Lytechinus pictus: one gene and its partner. The protein of the gene in region 2 interacts with the protein of the main gene of each other region in a biochemical or structural test. Links are inferred from orthologs where the notes say so. Each region holds a gene or a part of one and is shown on either strand. Other genes may lie near its edges.

Evidence for each region.
Region 1: the proteins of nuclear pore complex protein Nup155-like (region 2) and mRNA export factor GLE1-like form a complex in vitro, tested with the Homo sapiens proteins (2 studies listed by BioGRID). The link is inferred for Lytechinus pictus from reciprocal best matches to the Homo sapiens genes NUP155 and GLE1.

The regions. Positions count from the first base shown.
Region 1 is NC_087246.1:15,032,143-15,040,774, forward strand, and holds the start of mRNA export factor GLE1-like, read right to left. Parts: upstream 3,498-8,632; 5' UTR 3,330-3,497; coding exon 3,240-3,329; intron 1-3,239. UniProt on the Homo sapiens protein: Required for the export of mRNAs containing poly(A) tails from the nucleus into the cytoplasm. May be involved in the terminal step of the mRNA transport through the nuclear pore complex (NPC).
Region 2 is NC_087255.1:30,622,797-30,631,259, forward strand, and holds the start of nuclear pore complex protein Nup155-like, read right to left. Parts: upstream 3,377-8,463; 5' UTR 3,265-3,376; coding exon 3,259-3,264; intron 1-3,258.

The DNA of each region.
Region 1 (8,632 bases), on a different chromosome or scaffold from region 2:
CACTCTAGGCGACACCCCAATACTTACCCGTGCTAATAAACTGGGACTCCACTCACGCGCATTTGGGCCGCCCTAGCTTAGAACTAAGCTTTGTTTTACTAAAAAATAAATCTTGTAATGATTCAATAAATGTTACTTAATAAATTAGTACTGTTAAATCGGTACTCACCGGTTCTTTTCTTGAATTTTCTGGCAATTTCCCACGCTTCTGGCTTCAATTCTGCGGCTGTTCCTGTCGCGGTAGACAACTACATATGCAACTTTATTTATAAATAGAGCGCCCCTTACGATAGTTGTTAAGAGCGCGGCCAAATTGTTAGGTTTTTTGCACTGTGTCCAAGGCGTTTTTATTTTGTTTGATTTTTTATTTTTAATAGATATTTTGTTAAATAGCGATTTTTACGTCAAATATTAAATTCATATCACAAAATATTTTTAATTGTAGAAATATATATAATATCATGCAATTATTCATTCTATATATATTTTATAATAAAATTTATTATTGTCAGTAGAGGCGCACGGCCAATATTGGAGACTGTCTCCAATGTGGGAGATTATCTCCAATATCAGAGACTTTTGTAAAGAATTTGGGTATCCAATTTCAGAGACAGTCTCCAGTTTTGGAGTCCAATTTCCTTTGTTTACATTTGCTGCAAAAGGATTAACTTGGCGGCAAATAAAAATGTGATAAGCAGATTCCTCATGAAAAATTACCCCTTTTCACCGTCTACTTTAAAAATTCACCGTCTACTTTTGTTTTGATAAGGATTTTTGTTGTCAATCATACACAAAACAAATGGGCTTCTGACCTCAGTGAGACAAAATTTTGGGTGGAAAAAATCATGCTTTTGTTGGTGTTGTTTCTTTTGTCCTTTTGCAAAGCAAGTCTCCAATGTGGGAGATTGTCTCCCCTATTGGAGAGAGTCTCCCATATTGGCCGTGCGCCTCTACTGATTGTTGCGGTCTTTAAAAAAGGATAGTCGATTGATCAGGTGATGACCACACGTATCACGTGATCTGAAAATTAGCTTCATACCGCTTTGATCGCACTCGACGGTGACCGGACTGACTGCCAAAAAAAGATCGAAAAATGACTCGAATGTAAGTTTCCCTTTATTTTATTAAATTCAAATTAGGAATAGGAATATATTTAATGGGCAATCTTTTAATAAATGACAAACAAACGAGGACAAAACTCATATTTTGGGAGTAATATCATACTTGGGTGCAGGAAACAGTACGTTTAGAAGTTCTAACCTGTTTTTAACGCATTGTCGCCTATGAGGTCCATACGGGGTCCGGACAGCCCGACCACCGGACAGCCCGACCCTGGACAGCCCGACCCGCTACCCTGGACAACTCGTCCCGGTCGAGTTGTCCAGGGTTGGCTCTGAATCGGACAACTCGACCACTTGAATTCTTCTTCAACATTTCATGAAATAATATTTCAAACTTTGATATGCCTGCATGAAGTGCACAAAAATTGCTTTATTGTATCTAAAAAGCTGTATTTACCTCATCGATCAAGGGACTGCCGCTCTGATGCCCAATTAGTCATTGGAACTCGGTATTATTTCTGCTCGTGAAAGAAATGGAAAGACCATCGCATGTCGAGTATGAAACCTCTTCTCCTCATCCCGGGTGTAGGTGGTTGGTACCAGCCCAAGTGCTGGTATCCTCCAGAAGACCCGTTGTTTCCAATGGAAGTTGCATTAAAAAAAAGTTGTGACAGTACAAACCGACAGGTAAAAAATGAGACACATGTTTTTCGATAACGAAAGGCAAGTTTTAGATTTTGATTAAAATTTTTTAAGTTTTTGAATTTCGGCAGAATACATTTCTTTTTTCAATAAACTATTCCGTTTTGATATCAAAACTAAGTTTTTAAATTTTGATAATTATAATTACCCAATCTATGTCAGTTGTGCACCCCCATTCTGCTCCTCTAAACTTAGAAAACAATAAAAATTTGTAATACCGCGGTAGTTATTTAAGAACAAAAATAAACAATAAAGAGTAAAAAAGACACTTTCCTACAAAAAATTGTAAACTTCATAACTTACATACTGACACATTTTCAAATCTATTTCCTTAATTTGTTTATATGTTGGTTGGAAGCACCCCCCTGGCCTGAAGGCCTCCAAAAAGGGGCGTCAGGGATGGTTTTGGGAAGCACATTCCGACCACGCATTCACTGTCCTATACTCCTATAATCAGCTTAGTGACATTAAAAAAAAACTTTTTAATAAGTGGAAGAAGTGTGAAAATACAAAAATAGCACTCTCGCCATTGGAATATGTCAAGAGACGGAAAAATTTACTAAAATAAGTAAGTTTGACCTCGCATAGCTAGTTGAGCCGAGTGCCACACTCAGTCACAATCACAGCACAGCCGGTCGCCCAGCAGGCCTGCGAGGCGAAGCACCGCATCGGGTGTCCTTTCCAGGTGAACTATCTCAAAAGTTTGCATTAAGTATCAGTTTTGTGAAATGGAATAACTTTAAATAAGTAGAGGAAATGTGAAAATGGAATATGAAAATACAAAATAGCACACCCTCATCATTAAAATATGTCAAGTGACGGAAAAATCAACTCAAATTTGCAGAATTTGAACACAGCTCGCCGGCGGTATCGGATTATCAATTTATCAAGATACCGGTAATCTCGTTGCAAGGGAACTCGCTTTATTTTCTTTCAAAATAGCTCAAAATGCACTGAAATGTCAAATTTTCTGTCGAGAATGTATTGTAGAAACATGGATTATGCGGGGAAATACTTTTGAAGTAAAGTTTGAAATATTATTTCATGAAATGTTGAAGAAGAATTCAAGTGGTCGAGTTGTCCGATTCAGAGCCAACCCTGGACAACTCGACCGGGACGAGTTGTCCAGGGTAGCGGGTCGGGCTGTCCAGGGTCGGGCTGTCCGGTGGTCGGGCTGTCCCGGAACCGGTCCATACATGTTAATGTTTGGACCTCATTGGTAGTAGGAGTGCACACGGCTCCGCGCGGCCCGCAGCTTTGATTTAGGCCCCTAGTACATATTAGTAGTTTTAGAGTAGATCTAGTCAGTAGAAGCTAAAACCCTCGATCTAACATTACAAACATGACAAAGAAAACAACTGATGGGACCACGTTTAGAGTAGATCTTGTCAGTAGAACTAGAAGCTAAAACCCTCGATCTAACATTACAAACATGACAAAGAAAACAACTGATGGGACCACGTAAATAAAACAAACCTCTACACGTCCATCTTCGAGCCAATATTTGTCGTATATAAGGTTCCCCTTCTTGGAAGTTCGAAGTGCTTCAAGAGTCGAAGTCGCCATACTTAAACATTGAAGAGTTATGCTTGAAATAAACAATTATTTCAGCTCCGAGTCGTCAGATAAGCAGTCATTCGGTACCACTACACGGCGCCTCGGATCGGAAAAAGATAAGTGAAGAGATAACAGACAGAGCCAGCGATCGAGCGTACAATGCGCGCGCATGTGTGTGTCCCTTGCTAGCTCAGCTGCCTATACTATAGATACATCTTCAGATTTCTGTATCTCATCATAAAGCTTTTTCATTGAGAATCATGTACACATACAATTCATCTTTCATTGTGAAAACGTAAATTTTACTGATTTTTTTAAACAAAATTAATCCAGTGTGCACACACTTCTTCAACGTCACTTAAAAAAATGCCGCAAGACAACCCACATGCTGGCCGGGTCACTTTACGGTTCCTCGCTTTTGAGTTTTTTCAAAAATGTTTATATGCCTCTGCCCCCCCCCCCCCCCCAGGATAAAAATCTGTGTACGGCCATGTATCTACCCGAACCCACCTTCCCAAGGTCACTCAATTTGCTCATATCAACCCCCCCCCCCTAATTTTATTTGTCACAAGAATACCTCTTTACCCTCTTATATAAAATCATCTGCAATGTACTGTAATCTTGATCAATGCTGGTCCAGGTATTGTGCAGAGCATCATATCAAGCATATATTTATTTATTTTTTAAAGGTCAAGTCCCGCACCCCCAAAAAAGTTGATTTGAATCAAGACAGAAACATCAAACAAGCATAACACTGACAATTCCATCAAAATTTGATGTTAAATAAGAAAGTTATGACATTTAAAAGTTTTGTTTATTTTTTATGATGTCCCACACTCACTAATGGGTCTATTCCTTTTTTTCTCCCACTGCATTTCCTCTTTTCTCTTTTTTCTTCTGAATATCCTTCTCAGCTCTGTTTCTCAGTGTAATTAAGTGCATGAATATCCACAGTCATGCTAGCTACTGTATTAAGAAAAGCCCCACGTCTTTGGGCCTTCCTTTAGTACCTTCCTTTTAAGTAAAAAATATCAAAATTATCATCATCATCAGCCACTGCCTTTTCACAATCATAGAGATGAACTCAAAACTCTGTACAATATGATACACAAACTATACATATAGCTACATCATTTACTTTAATGAACTCTGTGCCTAATTCTGTTCAAGGAGACCTCTGTCACTTTATAAAGAGAAGATATAAAAATGCGTAGAACCTACATGATATGAACACACAATCAAAACTATTAAAAACACAACTTTTATATAAAATGTATATTACACTGAACACAGTCATAAAGAGTTTTATATCTCTCAACCACTAAATTACAATTTACATTTCAGTTGTTGGTTAAAATCCAATAAAGTCTTCCATTCTATATACATATACACTGTCCTGGGTCCCGTAACACAAAGAGTTGCGATTATCGTACACTTGATTTTTACGATTGATTGTACTACAAGTAGTCAATGCAATCAAACGTAGAAAAATGTTCTATGAACATTGCCAAGCTTTGTGTTACGGGCCCCTGGTATAAATTTCAAAAGTGGTCATGAAACTATTTATAGCCAGAAAACCGTTCTCTCACTTTAACTATTTTATGTCATCAAATGATTTCTAAGAATATCAAGTGATGTTATTGTCACTTTTAAAAAATATATACTATTCCCCTTCCGCCAAAGGCTTTTATAATCACAATTGATGCCAATAACAACACCGTACATGTATACCTATTCATTTATCATTTGAAATTTGCCATTTATAATGTGGTGTATAATTACACAAGTGAAAATCTTTTAAAGGAGAATGAAACCCTTGGAACCAGCTGAATCCATATCAAAGAGAAAAATCAAAGAAACTTATTGTTGAAAGTTTGAGGAAGATTGAATGAATAATAAGAAAGTTATGAGCATTTGAATATTGAGATCACTAATGCCATGTAGATCCTCGCATTGGCAATGCGACCAAGATCTGTGATGTCACACACGTACAACTCCCTCATTACTTTAGTACTTATTTCACTTATATTCTCACTTTTATAGAGTCTATCACAAGGTGAGGTGTTCTCTTTATATATGGGAGGACAATTACAGAGGTTTCACAACATTATATCATTGATGAATCGTTTGTCATATGATTAGAATGAGCAAAAAGAGATGTTTTGGGGTATATTTTCAGTGTCCAAAAGGGGAGAGTTGTTCATCTGTGACATCATAGATCTTGGTCGCATTGCCAATGGGAGGATCTCCATAGCATTAGTGATCTCGACATTCAAACGCTCATAACTCTTCTATTGCTAGTCCTATTTTACTCAAACTTTTGTTGATCTTATTCTTTGATTTTTCTGCTTTCACAAAAGCTAACTTGCTCCAAGAGTTTCATTCTCCTTTAAGGTTATATACCAAATAAGGCTATCATGGAGGGAAATGCAAAGTTACATTTTTAGGAGTCACTCTCTGTGCTTTATGCCCAGAATATTCAAATGCATTTTTACCAAGTGAACAAATGTACATGTTCTCCCCCAGTGTCATTTTATGTGAACATGTGACCTGCCCCCTTATCCCTTTAAAACCAAGCATATTAAAATGCAGTCATATAGTGTGAAAGAAATTACACCCAAAAAACTTTGTTAGTCCTTACAATGAACATGCTTTGATATACTTTAAACCAACTTGCAAACAGTATTTTAAGTGAATTATAAGTTTCCATGCAGTCCAATCTTTGTGTATTACCGTATTTAGAAAATGTGATAGTTCTAATAGCATGTGAAATTGAAGATAAACCTATTGGCCACAACAAGACATCTGCATAAGGGAACTTACTATGATTTTAATAAGTGAACCAAATGAATTACGAGTTTGATCATTACGTCGAGTTAAATACTGTTTTTTCCTTGAAAGAAAATATATATTCCAAAATTCCCACAAACATAACCAAATGTATTATCTAAAAAAAAAATTAAGGTACATTAATCAACACAGGAGCTAGTGCATTATTGTGCACTATCTAAAAATTGTTGCATGTCACATGATGCATATTCCATCAATCACAGCAATTACGATCAATCATTTTTCTATACATGTATAAACAATGCACTGAATATTAGCTACCACAGTAATCACCACTACCTACATGTATCACATTTTCTCCACTCATATTTGCATAAGATCTCTACGAGGCATAATTACTTGCATAGAAATGAATTTCAAAAGGTCCATAGCAGGGCTGTATTCAACTTGTGACACAACCAAGTTTTCAAGTAAAGCTATAAGCAAGTCAGCATCAAACTACAAAAAAGAAATGATAGAGATGATAGAATATTCATGTATTTCAAAAGCTGTTTACATATTGTTTGCCATTTCCAAATATTTGAACGTGATGAGTAAAGTTGGATGCCCTGATTCCCCCCCCCCCAATTTGAATTAAAGTAAGCTGGAAAATGGTGGGGTGTGATATACTAAGATATATAGGAGTGCGATTTCTTGTTTGCTAAAATTCCCAAAACATAGATCGTTAACATTGAAATTAACCACTAATTTGACTCATTATCCTAGATGTCTTGCCAAGACTCATCACAAGAGCAAACCTTTTTCTTCCAATAAAAAGCCCAACTATCTAATATCAGGTAAACTTTTCGGCCTCTCCCCCCCCCCCCCCCCTGCATAATCACTCCCTTGAAGACATGTCTAGACTTTTATACCAAGCCAATCACATAAGGATGTGTGCCAGTCCCAACATCAAGGTGGGATTTGTATTTGCAATATAAAATATTAAAAAATAAAATTATCAAGGTATTGGGGGTAACAAAATATACCATCTTTTAAAACTAAAATCCAAACAAAATCATGCAGGTATTTTAGGCATAATAATGGGCCACAGAATACTAGTATACCATCATTCTTGTCAAATCCTGACCATAGTGCTTCCAACTATATAACACAAAGTATTGCTCATCTTCTGTCAGTGAAATAGAAAATTTATCACAACCAATCCTATCTTTTTATTTCTTTCATTGTGAAGCAAAAAACCTTTGAAATGGTTCATCTAAGTTTAAATATTGCATTGCATGTCAAAGAAGCATGCTTAAAAAATATATAAAATGAACATGCCAACTTATCCAAAACCAAAAGTAAAAAAAATAATTACCACACATTTTATGACTTACATTTTTTTTAAAAGCCTGTTTGTTATTTCTTCTTTTTTACAGAGGAATTCCATGACTGTTTATTAGTCAAACATACATATTCAGCGTTATTGTATCCTTTATCATCAGATACTTTGAAATAATCAAGTTCAGATGCCTCTATAAAGTCCACCTATCACATTTTGTACATTGCATTCTACACTTTTAGAAAGATACAATATGTCATATAATATAATCTTATGAATGTATAAAGAGTCTTTACCTACATTTATAAGTTATTACTTTCACTCTTAGACGGTTAAACATTCTTTTTTTTTTATTTAACCTTTTTATATAAACAAGATCTATCTTCTTTTTTTTTATTCAAGGTGCAATACAATGGCACTTTTGAGTCACTAACAAATTGCATAAACTTTTCATCTTCTAAACTAAAATAATCCACCATGATAACAAATAAGAATATATTGTAAGTGTAAAGAGAATGTGAATGAGAGGTAGAATACAATAATTCCTATGGTGTCTAGATTAATTAATCCTTGGGATCCTATTGGAATGTACTGGCAGATGAAATTTTGAAATATGAAGACGTCATTCCAAAGGTACAATAGTCATCTTCGCACTTGAGAGAAAAACACATTTGTTTACCATAGAGGTTTATAAAATGTAAAAGCATCTGTAGAAAAGTGAGTGACAGAATATTTATTTTCCCATGGTTTCTCTCAAAATTGAGGTTAAAACTTCAGCATTTATCACAACAGACACATTTTTAACACTGTATATACTTTGAGAAATTAAAAAAAAAGTGTGATTATTAGTAAATTAAGTTAGATGTAAGAAGAATGTCTAGTTCAGTTGTTATAAGAATAAAAACTTCTTCAGGCCAAGTTTCATTAGAAAGCAAGTGATTTCACATGATATTCTAGACTTTTCAGTACTTCTCATGATAAATTATTATCCACTAAAAATCACAGAGGCACTGTCTGTTAGAAATAAGACACATGTTTAGTTTTATAAGTTCTGAAAACTGAACTTAAGTTTACTAGTGACAAACTTGGAACTTGATTTTGATAAATTTAATGATACTTGCTGATGACAAGTACTTCAATCCACAAAAATTAAATTTAGCTGATGGAAATCAAACTATTCAAGGATCTGATTCATCTCCCA
Region 2 (8,463 bases):
GACTGCCAATTTCCCATAGAAGGGGACTCGGATAACGAGTAATAGTACTCTTCGTTATCCAAGTCCCCTCCTATGAGAAATTGGACAGTCTTAACACGGGAAGGGGACTCGGATCACGAGGATTAATTAGACAGTTAAATAGTGTTTTTAATGTGATTTTCATTGATTTTAATGATTCTTATTATCGAAAATATTCATTTATCATCTCTAGGAAACTGTCTAAAATTGGCAGAGTGGTTTTGAAGAGGAGGGAAATGAGGGGTAGATGAATATCAACGGGTTAATTGCCGTTTTGTATTTTTAAGAGAGGGGACTTGGATCACGAGTAATAGTACTCCTCGTTATCCAAGTTCCCTCCTATGAGAAATTGGACATTCTTAACACGGCAAGGGGACTCGGATCATGAGGAGTAATTAGACAGTTAAATAGTGTATTTAATGTGATTTTCATTGATTTTAATGATTTTTATTATCGAAAATATTCATTTATCGTCTCTAGGAAACTGTCTAAAAGTGGCAGAGTGGTTTTGAAGAGGAGGGAAATGAGGGGTAGATGAATATCAACGGGTTAATTGCCGTTTTGTATTTTTAGGAGAGGGGACTTGGATCATGAGTAATAGTACTCCTAGTTATCCAAGTCCCCTCCTATGGGAAATTTGACGTTTTTAAAACGGGGAGGGGACTCGGATCATGAGTAATTAGACAGTTAAATTGTGTTTTTAATGTGATTTTCATTAATTTTAATGATTGTTATTTTTTCATATATTCATTTATCATCTCTAGGAAACTGTCTAAAAGTGGCAGAGTGGTTTTGAAGAGGAGGGAAATGAGGGGTAGATGAATATCAACGGGTAAATTGCCTTTTTATTTTAGAGGGGGGACTTGAATCATGAGGAGTAATTATACAGACATTCTTTTTACCTAACGAAATAAAGCAATGGAGACTGTTAAGAGGGAGATGCAATTCGATTTATTTAGTAAAAACGTGATAGACGAAATAAAGCAAAATAATAAGAAACATATATATGAAAAGAGATTCATTTAGCATAAAAAGTATGACGAAATAAAGCTATAACTCAGTATAAGGACTGAAAAATAGTAGATGCAATCCTGATTTATTTAGTAAATTAGGAATCAACAAATAAAGCAATGGAGACTGAAGAGGGATCTAGGCCTAGGGCCTATTGATTTATTTAGTAAAAACGTAGACGAAATAAAGCAAATTTTATATTGTGAGAAACATAAAAAAGATGAATATAATCCTGAATAAAGCAATAGAGATTGAAAAGAAGTAGATGCAATTCTGATTTATTTAGTAAATTAGGAATCAACGAAATAAAGCAATGGAGACTGAAGAGGGATAGGGCTTATTGATTTATTTAGTAAAAACGTAGACGAAATAAAGCAAGTTTGATATTGTAAGAAACATAAAAAGATGAATATAATCCTGATTTATTTATATGAAAAGTAATAGTTTACGAAATATAAAAGCAATAGAGAATGTAGACCAAAAGCTTCGGTCTCTGTTATGTTGGTTGTTCCGCTGAACTACGTTGGCTCCACTCACCAAATACATAGACCGAAGTTAAACCGTCGTCTGTACAGGGGCTCAATGGCCACCGCTAATTTCTTGTTTTTCTCCTCGATACCGCGATATTTTCCACCAAAAGTTCATACATATGCACCTATAGCTGAAAATGTATAAGTAACGACAGTTTCTTACCCTAAATTCCCGCTTTAAAACTGGCAATCAGGGGATTAACTCTGAAATTTGACACTTGCGACTCGGACTAGTGGGCAGCCATCTTGGTAATGAATAATTCATGAAAAAGTGGCCGACGAAAGTCAGACTCCGCCCCATGACCTTTACGTCACACATTACAGAAGGGGAAAGAAAGGAGCAGTTAAAGAAACAAAAGAAAAAAGGGGAAATAAAAATTAAAAAGAAAAGTAAAACAAAAAAGAGAGAAAACGAAAGAGAAAGAGATAAAGGAAAATGAAAAAAAAACATCTAGAATTTTAGTATTCATAAACCCGACGTAAAAGAGATGATCTGATTGGCCAATGGTTTTGATACGCAGTTGACCCGGAAGTTCTTCCAACGGCATATGTTTGTGTGTTATATCGACTTCGGATGAACGAGTGAACTAGGAGCTACACGACAGCCGAGGTAAGTCGCTGTTTTTTTTCCTTTTGACTTTATTTTTCCCTCGTTTTTGGCAATTAATGCCAAGAGGGAACATTAATTCGCATATTTGTTCATTTATTTTCATATATATTTATGAAATAAAGACAAAAATCGATGAGCCCCGTCGGGGGGAATTTGCATTGTACCTCCCCTAATGGTGGCGACACGCTAGCGAGCCGTCTGTGTATGAGGAGAAATTTAAAAAAAAAAAAATGTTGAAAAACTCCTCGAAACAGACGGCTGCCAGCTGTCTATAGAGAATGATGCAAATTCTGATTTGCTACGCCAATAAAGTGGAGACTGAAAAGAGACAAGTGACACACAACTACGAGTACGAGTACGAGGTTGGTAGAGACAGGTAGGACATGTTTTACGTTGTGGAAAATTGTCCGTGGATCCGATTCACCGGGAATTGGATCACGATAATGCCAAAATAAACTTAAATTAAGGGGAAAAATCAGTGACTTACTTCGGCTGTCGCGCAACTTCACTTCCCTGTTTTATCCGAACTTAATACATAAACATATGGCCAATGAGTCCCCTGGCATGCCTGGCCCTGTACAGATCGAGCTAGAAGTAGAACAGTCATGACAGTAGAAGTAGAACTTCGGTCTCTTGAGTCTTGTATTTGGTGAGTGGAGCCAACACTAACAGTAACAGAGTTCAGCGGAACAACCTTTGATTTGAACCAACAAGCAACATATTAACAGAGACCGAAACTTTTGGTCTCATATTGACCTTGAACTGTGACCAAGTTTTCGACCAGTTAGTTTGAGTTACTGGTCGGGAAATTTGCTCGAAGTCGGCCGGTGCGAAAATGGGTTAAAATGCACTAGCGCAGCCGTGGAGACTGCATCAACGATCGATCTCAGCGGAGCTTTGCCGCCTCGGCTTCGGCATAGGCGGAGCTCATTCATTGTTATCTCTTCTTCCGCAGTGCACCCGCTCCAAAAAGGTTCTGCACGTAACCGTATGAATCTATAAAATCAACATTTACTCATCTATAAAGCATTCTAAATTTAATTCATTTCTAATAATGAAACTTCAAGGAAATTATTTTATCGATCTTACCGCCATAGTTTGAATTTCGAAGGTCCTTCCGATACAAAGAAACGTGCAAAATCAAAATTACTTTTTAGAAAATTGGCGCTAACGTGCACGCGACGTTAAGCTTATGGTGTCTTTCACTGCACTCCGTCTAGAAAAAATGAAAAAAAATACAACTTGCATCATTCTCTTGCTACTATACTGCAAATTCTAAACAGTTGCCGTGTTTTTTTTTTCTTTCTTTCAATAACATGTTTCCATGTATTCAGTGACAACACAAGGAACAACTCTCAATTTTCTAATGGTCATATTGACCATATTAGGTGTCAAGGTCGGGTCAATGGGGTAATTTTGGGGCCCTGATTTGGGACGTCAAATATGTAAAACTGAACGAAAAAAAGGTGTACACGCATCATGTAACCCTGAGCTTTTGTTTACTGCCTGAGAGGTCAAAAGGTAAAACAGAACTTTCATTGGAAGGCAAAGTCATAGTGCTAAATTCTAATTAGGCATTTTACCTTACCTCACCAGGCCGAGTTCATCCCATAGGTGGATGTAGCCCTATTCATGATCCTTCAAATTCCACGACTTTCTGTTCTGAGCATATATGTGACATCGTCCCGCCGCCAAAGACGTTTGTCTTCTTCTCTATCTTTTCCTGTCTCTTGGAATCCATTCTGATGATTCTGTGGCCATTTTTGACCACTTATCATCTTTCCTTTTCATTTGGTGTCCTGCCCATCTCCATTTTGCTTCTTTCACATTTTCCATATGATAGGTTTGTTTGTCTTCCAGTGCGTTTCTTATTTTGTCCCTTAGCGTAACGTAACGTTCAGCAATTTTCTCTCTATTGCCCTCTGTGATGTACTTATTTTTTTGTTCGAGTTGTTTTGTTGTTGTCCATGTTTCTGATCCATATGTCGTTGTTGGGATAGTAAAGGAATTGAATGGTTTCTCAGTACCATTGGTAACTAGTTGTTTAGCTCTTGGAAAGACAAATTAGGCCTCGATCTCTATCATTGTACCCAACTGCCCATTTTATTTTCTAGGAAGTATAAGTTTCGGGGACAAATACCTACAGCAAAACCAATTGTCACTTTTTCATCACCATTTCAGGTGAAAAATAATACATGAATAAAAAATAGATGGACAAATAAATAAATGGGCCCAAATTTATGATAACTTAGACTCTCTCAACAGGAGTGTATAATCACTTATGATTTGATTTAGATGAAAAGGACACAGAACCATCAGACTTGGCATGTTATGAAAAATATTTAGGCAAAATTACACCTTTTTTCAGAAGTGGCAATAAGTCATGGAGATGGGGGATTATGTGAAGATGATGCAGTTGTTTTTTCTGTTAGTTTTTTAAATATATTAACCAGCTATTTGACTTTTTTTTTTACTTAAATAATTTCATTTTTCACGTCATGACTGAGTGCAGGGGTGGGGCGTTAGGGTATTTTGATCTGCAAGACGACCTGACCGAGGCCCGACTTTTCTAAATGAGGCTAGAGGTATATAATATGGGAGTTACATAGCTTGCTTTTTCAGTACTCTTGTTCATTCTTTCTCCCTTTGTTTCTTAACTTCACATTCTGCATTCTTTGTAAACTTGGCATTTGTAAAATAAATTGATCTTATCAAAAATACTCCATGCCTGCCTGTAAGTATAAATAATGCCTATTTTTAAGTTTTTATTCATTCCAGCAACAGAGTGATAAAAGGATGGAAAAAATTTAAACAAGTAATTGTGACTGTTTATTTATCAAAATCACAGAAATCAATACTCAAGAAATTATGGCATTCCAGACATTCTATCTAATTAATGTGCAACAGAAATTTGCCGATATTAATGCCTCTCACATCTTCATCTCGCTCGCTCCTTTCACCCAAAGTCAATAACTCTCGACCCCCACCCCCTTCTCTCTCTGATGCTGGGTCTACATCTCATAAAGTTCTTTTCTCTCCCTATCTATCCTCCCTTTATACATCTCATCAAGTATATGTACCATCCCCCCCAGCTACAGCTATCTCCCTCCTTGACGGCCCCTTGTTCCCTCATCCATTCCCCCAAGTATCTTTTCCATCGCTTGTACCAACCCTCTCTCGCTACAATACAAATAAGTCAGTAGAAGACATTCTCAAAGTTCATTCTTGCTACATATATTTTCTCTATCCATAATTTGACAGCTAAAAATTTGCCATGTTACATATACTAGTATTTACAAACTGGTACATTTCAGATTTACATGCCTGTTGTTTGGTCACTATTGGATCATAATTGATGCACATCACTTACTTCTTTCTGCAAAGTCCAATGTCGTTTATCAATCAACAATGCAAAGGTCATATACCTCATACTACATTTAATTGACATAAATAAAATAGCAGGATAATTTAAAGAAATATATACATATATTTTTAATTTAGTTTTTATTTCGAGCCATGTTTTAATTCAATAGAATTACGTACCTTTGTTACTTAAGGGACTCTGTGCTTCGAACATATTTTGTTTATACTTAGTTCCTACTATGTATCATTATCAATGTAACACTATATTCTGTCAATTTATTTTTGTTATGCATGGCGAAAAATAAAACAAACAAATATCTTCTGAATTTCAAGTAGGAAAAAAAAATCAGAATGGCAAGGGAGATGCTTGGTCCTTAGAATGAAATGTTAAAAAATAGTTTTGTTTGTGTTTTCTTTTTAAAATATATATGTAATAACCAAAAGTTAAAGTCTCATTAAAATAATAATAACAATAATAATAATAATGATAATAATAATGAAAATAATAATAATTATCATAATTTATATAATGATAACAATAACAACAATAATGATAATAAATGAATAAACATTCATTTCAGCCAATAGAATTCAATATCATCCACATTGTAACAGTCTAAGACATATACAAATTCCTAAATGTGAGGGTTTACAATAAAAATACGAGAGAGGCTTGACACAAAGATCACAAACTTTTATAGTATAACACCATGCATTCATATAATTAATCATGTTGAAATATTGCAGCAATAGCGAGGTATACAACGGGTATTGGGACAGGTGTCTATGGATACCAATATTAATAGGCATAAAAGAAAATCTGATATACAAAAAGCATGACCATGGCATAAACAAATGACAAATGGCAAGGCAGTTATAAATATAAATTACAATGAGCTTTTAGTATATTGTTCAAATTATATATTTCGGTTTCTTTATTGTCCATGGCATTAGGTTAAATCTCTTTCTATCTGGTTAGACATACATACTTATGTGAAGTTATATCACTCACACTATTTACACAATAATAAAGTTGACAGAATATTTTTTTTGTAAAACAGATTCACACAGTAATGGAAAAACATTGAGAAAAAAATTACAAAAGCACCTGTAGGTAAGAAAAAAGATGAATTGACTAACTTGAACTTAAAGTGCATGAGTATTGAAATAAATAAATTTCACATTTCACATTTTAGTAACAAGTATATTCTAAGATGCAAAAGGTTAAAGAGATATTCAATAAAATATCAAGCTTCAGTCAACGCTGCCAATTATTGCTCAATTATCTCCAGACATATATTCTCTAAACTCTGAAACCATGAGTTGTTGATATAAAATTATACCCTACACTCTCATCACATCATCAATTTTATCCTTCTTCTAACGATATTCATAATCAAGATGACCATCTAACCAAAAATATTTTAAACATTTTACACATGCAGCATTTTTAACAATTCAAGTATATTTCATCATGAGCAGAAATATATATTTTAATTTACATATAAAGTATGTTAAATATCTGTGACTTGTAACATAAGGAATCACAATCAATATATTTACAATCAATTGTAATATTTTTGTACTTGATTTGCCATAGAGTTGAAATGATAATGGATTTTACAATTGATTTTAATCTTTCATGTTACAGGGTTTTTGGTCCCGATTCATACAGAGTTCTTGTAATAACAAATGCACAAATTCTATAACAAGTTGACTATTAGTTATTTTAAAGTTTTATGAAATGGATCACTGGAATGATACTGAGCAACCAGCACATTTTCAAACAGCTAATTAATAAACATCATTTATACATATACTTGAATTTGTACTTCCATTTCTTTTGACCATATGGGGGGTCGATAATAAAACAATAAAACGCAGTGGCAGATTATATATTTTGAATTGGAGGGGAATGCAAAGAGCAAATTTAAAAATAGAGGGTGTGCAGATCAAAATTTTCCTAGCTACATTAATATGTATAGTCAATGGTTGATTATCAAAATAAGGAGGGTTTTAGGTCAATTATGCCCCCACCTAGATCTGCTACTGTATAAAGTGACACAAAGAAGACAAAGATAATTTGGCAGACTAAGAAATCAATTCTATTTTTAAGGACTATTTTTATTTTTCACATTGGAGTGATTTCATAATTTTTTGGGCTTTACTTTCATTTGAAGGGCTACTTTCAGGGGTAAAAACTATTTTTGGGGGTACAATGCTCTTTGGGCCTGATGTTGCCATCATAAATGATGAAAGGTGGCCCGTGACTGCCACATAATAAACCATAATTGAATAACGTGACAATAGTAATTAGATGGAATGGGCAGTTAACCCAAACCACTTATAACCAGGGGCCGAATAGTGCAGTAAAAGCAAATATTATTCTTCTGCCAGTTAGAATGTTGATTTTTAAATCAATCTTAAATATTCTTTGGAACAGATCTTGGGGCGTCTATAGAAAGAATGGTTACCCCAAAGCATGTATTTGGGGGAATATTAGGGGCAATTAGGGCTGTTATGAGGGCAAAATCGCCCGTCGCCATCATGTATTCCCTACGCTGTAAATTGGACATACAAAACATAATATTATAACTAGCAGTAGTACATATTGAGACAAACTAAACTTTATACATGTGTATGCAGGTGCTGTTTTCATAAATTTCAAGACTAAAGAAAAGATAGATTATTGATAGCTGAGATCAAAATACAATATGTATATATATTACACAATTTATAACAGAAATCAGTGGTGTAATGAGCCAAAAAAAGTTAAGGGGGCACAACATGGCCTAAATGAATGACACAAAATTTTCAAAACGTCACAAAATATTGACTATTTTAGAATGAAAATTGAATTTTGTGATAGCTTTTGTCATATTAAAAAATATCAAGTTGGGTATGCACAAAGGGTGGCGTATGAACAATTTT